3 linked regions of the Caenorhabditis elegans genome follow. The protein of the gene in region 1 interacts with the protein of each later gene in a pairwise test. Each region holds a gene or a part of one and is shown in the gene's direction. Other genes may lie near its edges.

Region 1 (3,083 bases):
CAATTGACAACTCCACGTACTCCGGAAAAACAGTCGAGGTCACGATCTGGATCTCAGGGAACACCAGAGAAAAAGTCGCGAAAAGAGAGCTCATCGGAATCTGACAGCGAAGAAATTATTTCAACATCTTCCGAAGGGGCTTTGAAAGGAAGACGTGAAGAATTTGATTCACTGAAATTATGGATTATGAAAAGTAAAGAAACGAATACTTCGTTGTCTATTTATGTCAGTGGACAACCTGGAACTGGAAAAACTGCGACCACAATGAGAGTTCTTAAATCATTGGGAAAATCAGTTCGAAGTTGTATTGTAAATTGCGCTTCAACAAATACCAAATCAGCACTATTCAAAACGATTTTCGAATCTTTGGATTTGGACGGAAAGCCGAATGAAGAAATTTTTGAGAAGCACGTGAAGCAATTCAAAACTCCTCTGGTACTGGTTCTCGATGAGATTGATCATCTCGCGAATCGAAAGAACGCTGCACTCTACGCAGCTTTTCAATGGCCAGAGACGTTGTCTCGAAAAATTATCATTCTTGGAATTGCAAATTCGATTGATTTGACAGAACGACTTCTTCCAAAATTGATGCTCGCGAAGCCACCGAAAAGACTCGTTTTTGAACCGTATACGAAAGATGACATCGTAGAAATTTTGAATGATAAAATGAAAAACGAGGAGGTAAGTTTAAATTTAAAGGATGAGTATCGGTTTTCGGCTTGTATAGACTCAAAATGTACCAAAAAAAACTAATTTTGTAGTGAGAATTTTCAAAAAAACAATTATGGTGGCTAAAAAATTTCGAAGAAAAAAGCTATTTTTAAATAAAATCACCAATTTCGCCCATTTTCTAAGAACTTTTCAGCAGTCTCATTATGAAATTCTTTCGTTTGCGCACATTTTGATTCTTTCCAAGCGAAAAACTCAGAGAACCGGTGCTCCTAAGTTCATTTAGTATTTTACATTTTATAATTTCAGACTTCAATTGACGCAAAGGCAATCGAGTTAACCGCTCGTAAAGTGGCTGCAATGAGCGGAGATCTTCGTACCGCACTCCACATCTTCAAACAACAAAAAAGTCGTATGATTCCTGATGATTCAAAAGTTCCTGGTACCCCAGTTAATGGATGTCGTGAAGTTCTTGGAATCATCAACAATGTCTATTCGTCTCCATTGGCTCGTGCTCGTCTTCCACTTCAACCTCGAATTCTTCTAGCTGTCTCTTTAACACTTTCTGCCAACAAGAAATGCACATTCGATCGGAATTCCCTGCTCCGTGCCTATTATAAAGCTTGCGAGGCTCTTCGAATGCCCGCTCTTGATGACGATGAACTTCATTCAGCGTTCCAGACTCTCGAATCTCAATCCTTCGTCCGTCAGTTAAACGGCGGAAAGCTAGTTCTTCAAGTTGATGCTCCGACGGCAAAATCGGCTATCAGTGACAACGCGATGCTTGATCAAATTGGACTCCTTCAATTTTAATCGCATCTCCTGTAACATAATTTATATCCACTTCTATTTATTGAAATATTGAAAAAGTTTTGAATTTCTTACTTTGGCATTTCCCTGTAAACTTTATCATTCCTCTCACTTCCTTTCAACGCGTTCTCTCTTCTGAATACCTGTCCCTTTACCTTCGGGTACACGTTCTGTGTAATTTATAAACGTTCTCCATATTTATTACAAAACTTTTTGCTCTGAATTTTGGTTTTATATTCCAAAATTTTTTATCTTTATTTTATTATGTCTATAATTATTCTACCCATTTCTTAATTATTCAGATGCGTCCACTGACAGAAGAAGAGACATCGCTTGTATTTGCCAAGTTGGCCTCGTTCATCGGAGACAATGTCTCGATGCTCATCGACAGAAATGATGGAGATTATTGCTTCAGAAATCACAAGGTATTAATTAATTGTTCTTTATCCAATAAAAACTCGATTTGTTCTTCAGGAACGTGTCTATTACTGTTCGGAAAATCTGATGCGTCAAGCCGCCTGCATTGCCCGTGAGCCACTTCTCTCTTTTGGAACTTGCTTGGGAAAGTTCACCAAAAGCAAAAAGTTCCATCTCCAAATCACCGCTCTCGACTATTTGGCGCCGTATGCCAAGTTCAAGGTGTGGCTGAAGCCGAACGCCGAGCAGCAATTCCTTTACGGAAACAACATTCTCAAGTCTGGAATCGCAAGAATGACCGACGGAACTCCAACTCATGCTGGAATCGTCGTATACTCGATGACCGATGTTCCATTGGGGTATGTTCACATTTAATATTCAAGTTAATTAAATATATTTCTCTAGATTCGGAGTGTCAGCGAAAGGAACATCAGACAGTAAGCGTGCCGATCCAACTGCTCTCGTCGTTCTACATCAATGCGATCTTGGAGAGTATCTCAGAAATGAGAGTCATCTCGCTTAATCGGATTTTGGTCTCCATTCAAAAATTTTAAATTCCACAATTTTTCATTTTTCATTGTTATTCTCTTGTTGATGTTGTTTTTGTTGGTCTTCCTTTCAAAATTTTTCATTCAATTATAAAAAATTCAATCTAATTCTGATTCATTCAGGATTCACTTATTGAACAAAAAATTTGAAAAGGTTACGAGTAATAGGCCTAGTTAGTTGAGGTAAAAGCTGAAGAAGTCGAATCGGTGCATCGTCTCCATTTGCACGAAAATATGAAAGCAGGGATACCATGGATGGAAATCGATCGGCAATTGCTTCGGCTCGATTCTGAGACATTCCCGGGCAAACCATCAGCTGTCGGACCCAAGCTTCTTTCACAGTTTCCGCCTTCTTTTTCTGGAGAAGATTCTGGAGTTGGCTGAATGGAACACCCGAAATTTCTTCTATGGCCGCTTTGTTCTGCAAACGAATCGTCACTTCCTTGAGAAATGCAGCTGTGTCTCGAGTATCAGAGCATCTTTGAATAAGATATCCTCCATTGGAAAGAGTTGATGCTACGGCCTGGAATTTTTGTTAGAATTTTGAAAAATCATCAGATTCTAATTCTATATTCTACCTGTTCGCAAGCAACATCTCCTTTATGTTGAGCTTCAATCAAATAAACTCGATTCTTCATC
Region 2 (3,756 bases), on another chromosome or scaffold:
AGTTTTTGACCTTCAAAAAGTGCTAAATTTGGCAAAAAATAGTCGATTTCAAACGAAAATTTTGTAGAAAAATTTAAAAATTCCTTCATAAAAATGGTTGAAATTAGAATTTTCCTATTCAAAAATGTCTGAAATTTCCAATTACCAATGTAAAAACGTCTGAAATTTTAATTTTCTAATTGCAAAATGTCAGAAATTTCAGTTTTTCTATTGAACTTTTCATTTCCTATAACCCGAAACATCCAAAAAACAATAAATTCTGCCAAAAACCGCCAAATTTTCAGTTTTTTTGCCGGTTTTTTCTCCAAAAGTAGTCCCAAAACCCCATTTTCTCGAAAATTTTACATTTTTCTCAAATTTTCTATCAGAAAATTCAATTTTCCCGCCAAACCCCCCTACAAATCCCAATCTCCACACATCATTTACAAAAAAAAACGTGTAAAAAATGTGTGGGAGATCAAAAAATAAAAGATTTGGCGGGTTGGGGGATTAACCCTTCAATTTCCGTTTTTTCTAGTCAACTCGCGCGTGTTCATTTAATCCAAAAATCCACTACAACTTTGTGAATTTCGTTAGATTTTCGTTTATTTTTTTGTTGGTTCGAAATATTGATTTTGTCTCGTCATTTAGTCGTATAATTTTAGTACTCAAGTGTAGTTTGTAGTTTGTAGTGAAACTGCCCATGCTGTCCCATTTCGGTTTGATCTACCCCCCAGATCTACAAGAATTGCGGGAATTTAGACGCAGAGTTCTCAAATGATTTTCAAAAACTTGCAGAAATTTCAAATTTCCTATACAAAAATATCTGAAAAACTGATTTTCCTGTAGAAAAACGTCTGAAAAATCGATTTTTATATGTAAAAAATTTCTGAAATTTCGAATTTCCTATATAAAAATCTCTAAACATTTCACATTTCTTATGTAAAAATGTTTGAAAAAGTGATATTCCAGTAGAAAAATGGCAGAAATTTCAAATTTTCTATGTAAAAATGCATGAAATTTCAAACTGTTATGAAAAAATATCCTAAAAATATGATTTTCCAGTATAAAATGTCCTAAATTTCAAATTTTTTGTATAGAAATCTGAAATATTGAATTTCTCATGTGAAAATATCTGAAAAATTGATTTTCTAGCAGAAAATGCCGGAAATTTTGAATTTTTTAGTACAAAAACGTAAAAAATTTGAACTTCCTATATAAAAAATTCTTGAAGTTTCAGATTTCATGTTTAAAAATGTCTAGAAAATTGATTTTCCTGTAAAAAAAACGTTTGAACTTTCAAATTTTCTATGTAAAAATGTCTAAAATTTCCATTTATTCATTTAAAAGTGGCCGAAATCCTGAATTTCACAGTTCAAAATACCGGAAAAATACATTTTTCAGTCGAAACATGTCTCAAATTTTGAATTTTTTTATATAAAAAATTTCTGAAAAAAGTGATTTTCCAGTAGAAAAATGGCAGAAATTCTGAATTTCCTATGTAAAAATTCCTGAAATTTCGAATTTTCAGTGTAAAAATATTTGAAATTTTGAGTTTCCTGTAAAATAATGTCTCAAAATTTGATTTGTCTATATAAAAAATGCCGTAAATTTCCAATTTCCTATGTAAAAATATCTGAAAAGTTGATTTTTCCTATGTAAAATTGTCTGAAATTCATAGATTTTTTCTATAATTTTTTTTTGGAAAAAACAGTTCAAACTACATATTTAAACTTGAAAACATATCAAAAAATATTTACTTTGAACAATAGTTTTTTCCCGAAAATTCCATGTTTTTTTGCAATATTTGCATATTGTTTTCAAGTTTTCTGTAACTTCGAATGTTGTTTTTCTTTAAACTCCCCATTTTTTCCCAGCAATTTCTGCAAAATTTCCAATCTTTTGACCCCAAAAATCATCAAAACACAGACATTTTTTTTTGTTTACTTTCTCCTTTTCTCTCTCAAAACATAATGTTTTCCGCACTTTTGATGTCTGATTTCTCGATTTTCTGGTTTTTTTATTATAATGTTTTTCCTGAAACTTTATGTTTTGGTTCGCATAAAAATGCTATAAAATGGCGTGATTTTATAGTTTTCCAGAGTTTCCGAGTTTCGGAGCGATGCAGTATATTGTGCTGCTCAGCGTTCTGCTCATCGGAGCAAACGCTCAACTTTCAGCGACAAGAGGTAAGTTTTTCCAACCTAAAAGTGTACCTAAACCCCTTTCAGACCAAGAATGCAAAGAAAACGAGAGCTTCCAGACGTGTGGCACGGCTTGCGAGCCGACTTGCGGGCTTCCGACTCCGGTGAGCAGATTTTGTTGTCAAATTCCGGCTTACAACGTGGTTTTTGCAGACTTTTTGCACACTGCAATGCGTCATGGGATGTCAGTGTAACAGTGGATTCTTCCGCAGAACTTCGGATAATCGTTGTGTTGAGCAGAAGGACTGCAATGTTGCGGCGAATGAGACGATTCCAATTCCACCACCAGGTTAGAAGGGGACACAGACTAAAATTTGGGCCGGGCTACGCAGTCTCGGAATCTGAAATTTTGGGTCCGCTAGTACATCAGAGTTTCCAGACAAGGCCCAATCTCTAAGGCCGCACTGGCCCTACAGACAATGGCCCGGAGTTCGAAACGGGTATCTAGACCCAGAGCTTGGGGGTATCAGCCTCCTGACTTTGTGGGCGCCAAGCCCAGAGTTCAAGGGTCCCAGGCCCAGAGTTCGGGGGTACCTGCCCCAAATTTTGGGGATACCGAAAGACTAAATTTTGGGCCGGGCTGCACACGGAGTCCTGGAATCTGATGTTTTGGAGCGCGGGGTCCGCTTGAAAATCAGATCTTCCTGACAAGGCCCATTCTCTAAGGCATCTCAGGCCCTACAGACACTGGCCCGGAGTTCGAAACGGGTATCTAGACCCAGGTACCAGCCCCCAGAGTTCATGGATCTTAGGCCCAGAGTTCAGGGGTGCCAGGCCCAAAGTTCAGAGGTCCCCAGCCCAGAGTTCAGGGATACCAGCTCCACAGTTCAGGGTCCCCAGCCACAGAGTTCATGGGTTCCAGGCCCAGATTTCGTGGGTACCTGGCCCAGAGCTCGGGGACTGCCGGACCCAGAGTTAAAGAATACCAAGCCTTGAGCTCCACGGTAACAAGCCCAGAGCTCCACGGTACCGAGCCCAGATCGTGGGTACCAGTGCCAGACTTCAAGGGTAACAAGCCCAGAGTTAATGGGTCACAGGCCCAGAGTTCATGGGTACCAAGCTCAGAGCTTGGGGTACCGAGCCCAGATCGTGGGTACCAGCGCCAGACTTCAAGGGTGCCAAGCACAAACCTACCAGGCATCCTAAAGCCTCCAAACCAAGACCCCCGACCCCAAACCCCTCTAACCCCCCACCAATTTCCAGCCACCAACCTCACATGCCCAGTCAACGAGGTATCCAACGAGTGCCACAACCCATGCACCGAGAAGAAGTGCCCACAAAAGAATGCTCCACAGGTGAACTGCTTGATGGCCTGCCAAGTCGGATGCTCCTGCATGGACGGATTCGTCAGAAACAACCAAGGAGTGTGTGTCAAGGAGGCCGAGTGCCCAGCGATTGGTAAGTACTCTAAAAATTGGACGAAAAAATGCACCAGAATTGCGCCACCGCACTGCAACTTTCCAGGCTCTCAAACCTGCGGAACCAACGAGGAGCCCAACCAGTGTCACAACGCGTGCTTCGAGAAAAAGTGTCCGGTTAAGCCCCAGCCACTGGTAAACTGTATGGAGAAATG
Region 3 (3,756 bases), 4.1 Mb from region 1:
ATTTAGATTTTTGTTCATGCACCATGTTGTTTTTTTTTTGGAATAATTGAGGAATTCCTTACTTTTAAAGTAAAAAGTTTGGTGAGATCCATGTGTTTTCATATTATTCAGTTGGTAAATTATACAGATTATTGACTGAAGGTTAATTTTTTGTTGGGAAAATAAAAATCGCCAAAATCAATAAAATCGTATTTAGAAGTAGGGTTTCCATATAGGCGGTAAAAGGCTTGTCTGCCTGACAATAAGACGACCGCCGCTCGCCTCAATCCGCGGCGGAGGCAGGCAGGGTTCAGGTAGGCACTGAAACCGCGCCTGCTTACCATGATGTTCCGTTCTTGTCGATGCACCATGATAATTTTGGGTTACATTTTGAGCCTTTTCGAAAAATTAATGGTGGAAAATTTCAAGCTGAATTTTAATATTTATTTTTTTAACCGTATTGTGGGACATGCAAATGTCTTTCATTTTGTGTCCCTTCACTCTAACGTCTTCAGAATTTTCGAACTTCTCGATGCACCATAATGCTGTTTGGCGATAACTTTAGAGTAAGAATGGTAGCGATTTTTGCGATGCACCATGACGTTTTTATCGATTTTCAGAAAAAAAATCACTCCGAGACCCAAATAGTTTCATTCTCGACGCACTATAACGTTTTCGAAGTAAATTTCAAAATTGCTTCTCGGAAAAGTTTTTTGAGACCTACATGCACCTTTAATCTTCTTTGGAAACTTTGGAATTTCCGCCGAATACTCTCATTTCAGTTGTTCTCGATGCACCATGATGGTATTTTTTTCAAATTACTTTTTTTTGATTTTTCCATGAGAGGACCAATATCTGTCTTTATAACGGCGCATTCTGTAACCAAATTTTGAAATTCCACGACATTCTGCTCTCATCGATTCAACATGATAATTTTAAAATGAAATTTAGCGATTTTTCGGGAAAAAAACAGTTTCGAGATTTTCTAGTTATTGGACACTCTGCACCTTGCTTATTTGGAAATTACATTTTAAACCGACAACCCTTCAAAAACTGCTTTTCGTCGATGCACTATGAGTGCATAATTTTGTGTAAATCGTGGTGGGCCTCTAAAAAAACCGAAAAAAAAAACGTATAAAACGCAAACAAATTGTTTTTGTTGTAATGTTGACACCAACAGATTCGGCGTGGAATATACGGAAGATCGGATTTCCAAAAAAACAACCGCTCTCCTGTTTTCGACGTTCCGCCGCTTTTTATGGGAGAAGTAGTATGTACCTTTAAGGGTACTGTAGCCCCTTGAATATTGGCCTAAAAGTGAAACTAGTGTTGCCAAAAAAAAACGAGATGACCAGTTTCAATATGTCATTTACATCTACACATTTCTAAAATCTCATTTTAAATTCCATTGTTTTCTCGTTTCTTCTGTCCCAAAGTACCGTATCCTCATCCTTCTACCACCTTAATTTGCATTTCTTCTTCCTTATTCACTCTTCTTCCCCTGGACGAAAAATGTTGCACGACAACAACAAAAGAGACCCGCCCCCCACCATCGGTTTCTCTGAACCTCTAACTGTCCCCGCCCCCTTTTGGGAGCCCACTGTCTTTTCTTTTTTTCTTTGGTCGCTGATTATGACGGATCGTTTTTGTCGTTTTTGTATTACAGGAATACAAATTTCCCAAAACGCGTATTGCACAACATATTTGACGTGCAAAATATCTAGTAGCGAAAACTATAGTAACTCTTTAAATGACTTTTGTAGCACTGATGCCGATTTAATTAAATTATTTATTAACAGATAAAATATTAAAAGAAAACACGACAATTCAAAAAAATTCATTTCGTAAATCGAGCCCGTAAATCGACACAAGCGCTACAGTAGTCATTTAAAGAATTACTGTTTTTTCGCTACGAGATATTTTGTGCGTCAAATATGTTGCGCAATACGCATTCTTATAATTTTGTGTACCCGTAGTATATTTTTGTCTCTCTGATTTCCATTGCAATTTTTTAATTCCATATTTTTTTGGTGACAAATTTCTCCGCTTATCAATTTTTTTTTCAACCACATAATTATTAACCCCAAAACATCGCAGATTTTCAGGTAAAATGCCAGTCGTGAGCGTTAGACCTTTTTCTATGAGAAATGGTGAGCAATTTTTTTGAAGTTTTTTTTTGAAATTTTTAATTTTTCCAGAAGGCTTCTCAAACGGGCATAACACGTGGAACGACGCCGAATTTTGGAAACCGTGAGTTTTCGGCAAATAAGCTAACAGTCTAAGAAACACGAAAAAAAATCCAATTTTCTTTTCAAAATTCGTGATTTTCGGATGATTTTTGAACTTTTTGATTAATGTTCCCACTGAAAATCCTCCAAATCTCTAAAAATCCGCTTCTAAAAAAGCCTCAAATGGCCTTGCGAGAATAGACGGAATGTTCAAGGATGACTGGTATAAAATCGGCAAACGTGTTGCCATTCAAACAGAATATCTCGAAATTTCGCCTTCCTTTTTTTTAAGTGGGTCGGATATTTAACATACAGAAGAGAATAGGGAGAGAAAAGAGGGAAAAGAGGGGAAAAGTCTTCTTGGAAACAACCTCGAACCGCAATTAAGTTTTTGCCTCACCCTTCAATTTTCGTGAGAAAGTTAAAAATCCAAATTTTTTTCTCCTTTTTTAAAAAAAGATTTCCTCCTCAAAAATTCAAAGGATCGAATTTTTTGTTACACGCCTGCCTCCTTTTTATTACCCTTGTTCTTGATCGCAACCTCTTTTCTAGATTACTTGAAAAAATGCGCTATTTTTTTTCCTTTTTCAACAGAGTCAATTTCAAAGGTGCTGTGGAAAAAGTTTCGGTTTTTTTTTGCAAAAATAATCGAAATTTGTTCGTTTATACTGCTTAAAAAATGACCAAAATTTCAAGTAATTCATTCGAAAAATCGATTTTTTTGAAATATACAAAAATTTTCAATTTTTCATATCTGAAAACACAATTTTTTCGATTTTTCATTTTTCTTGGAAAAAACACAAAAAAAAACTGTATTTAATTTCCCACTTAATACTACGATATCCAAGCCCCGCCTCCGCGTATTGTACGTGAACACGGCGGCCCAAAATTACACACTATCTCACACACGTTAAATGAGTGATACCGTACTCTCTCTGTTTTTTCTTTCATTTTTTCGGCGCCGAAAATTTTCAATTTTTGGTGGTTCTTTTGGCGGGATTTTTCGGATTTTTGTCGCGTTCACACACACACACCAGTTGGTGTTGCCTGTCGTCACCCACCCGCCCCACTCTTTGTCCGTGTACTGCTTTGCCATTTGTGCGCGCGTACCGCTGCCCGTCTGTCTTTCTCATCATATGCGCCTCGTTTTGTCGCTTTTTCTCCATTTGCCCTTCCTACATGGGTACCTGCGGTTTTCATCGAAAATATCCTTAAAAATTCCGAAAAACCTCTATTTTTCGATTTTTGAATCGATTTTCGCCCAAACATAACCATTTTTCAGAATGAAGGAAGAACAAATCGCCTATAAATTGCCAGGGGCTTGGTATTACGAGGAGGACACTGCCTCGTGCTCTCCAGTCAGCGATCCGGAGGATATTGCGCAGTTTCTCAACTACAGAACGTCGATAGGCGTGCAAAATGTCACAGAGTCCGTGGAAGTTCCGACGTCGGAGCATGTCGCCGAGATTGTTGGTCGTCAAGGTAAAAATTGCCTTTTTAGTCAAATCTACAGTTTCCACAAATTTTCAGGCTGCAAAATTAAGGCACT

What was found.
Region 2: the proteins of C43E11.9 (region 1) and Y69H2.3 interact in a two-hybrid assay, tested with the Caenorhabditis elegans proteins (one large-scale study listed by BioGRID).
Region 3: the proteins of C43E11.9 (region 1) and mex-3 interact in a two-hybrid assay, tested with the Caenorhabditis elegans proteins (one large-scale study listed by BioGRID).

What each region holds. Positions count from the first base shown.
Region 1 is NC_003279.8:4,266,666-4,269,748, reverse strand, and holds C43E11.9 (60S ribosome subunit biogenesis protein NIP7 homolog), read left to right. Parts: upstream 1-1,781; coding exon 1,782-1,904; intron 1,905-1,953; coding exon 1,954-2,255; intron 2,256-2,301; coding exon 2,302-2,419; 3' UTR 2,420-2,550; downstream 2,551-3,083. Other genes in the region: cdc-6 (Cell division control protein), read left to right, coding at 1-681, 979-1,482; mus-81 (Crossover junction endonuclease MUS81), read right to left, coding at 2,575-2,967, 3,023-3,083.
Region 2 is NC_003283.11:18,662,442-18,666,197, reverse strand, and holds the start of Y69H2.3 (Follistatin-like domain-containing protein), read left to right. Parts: upstream 1-2,071; 5' UTR 2,072-2,101; coding exon 2,102-2,168; intron 2,169-2,210; coding exon 2,211-2,287; intron 2,288-2,336; coding exon 2,337-2,472; intron 2,473-3,386; coding exon 3,387-3,581; intron 3,582-3,647; coding exon 3,648-3,756.
Region 3 is NC_003279.8:125,208-128,963, forward strand, and holds the start of mex-3 (K Homology domain-containing protein), read left to right. Parts: upstream 1-2,077; 5' UTR 2,078-2,089; coding exon 2,090-2,129; intron 2,130-2,177; coding exon 2,178-2,229; intron 2,230-3,489; coding exon 3,490-3,689; intron 3,690-3,737; coding exon 3,738-3,756.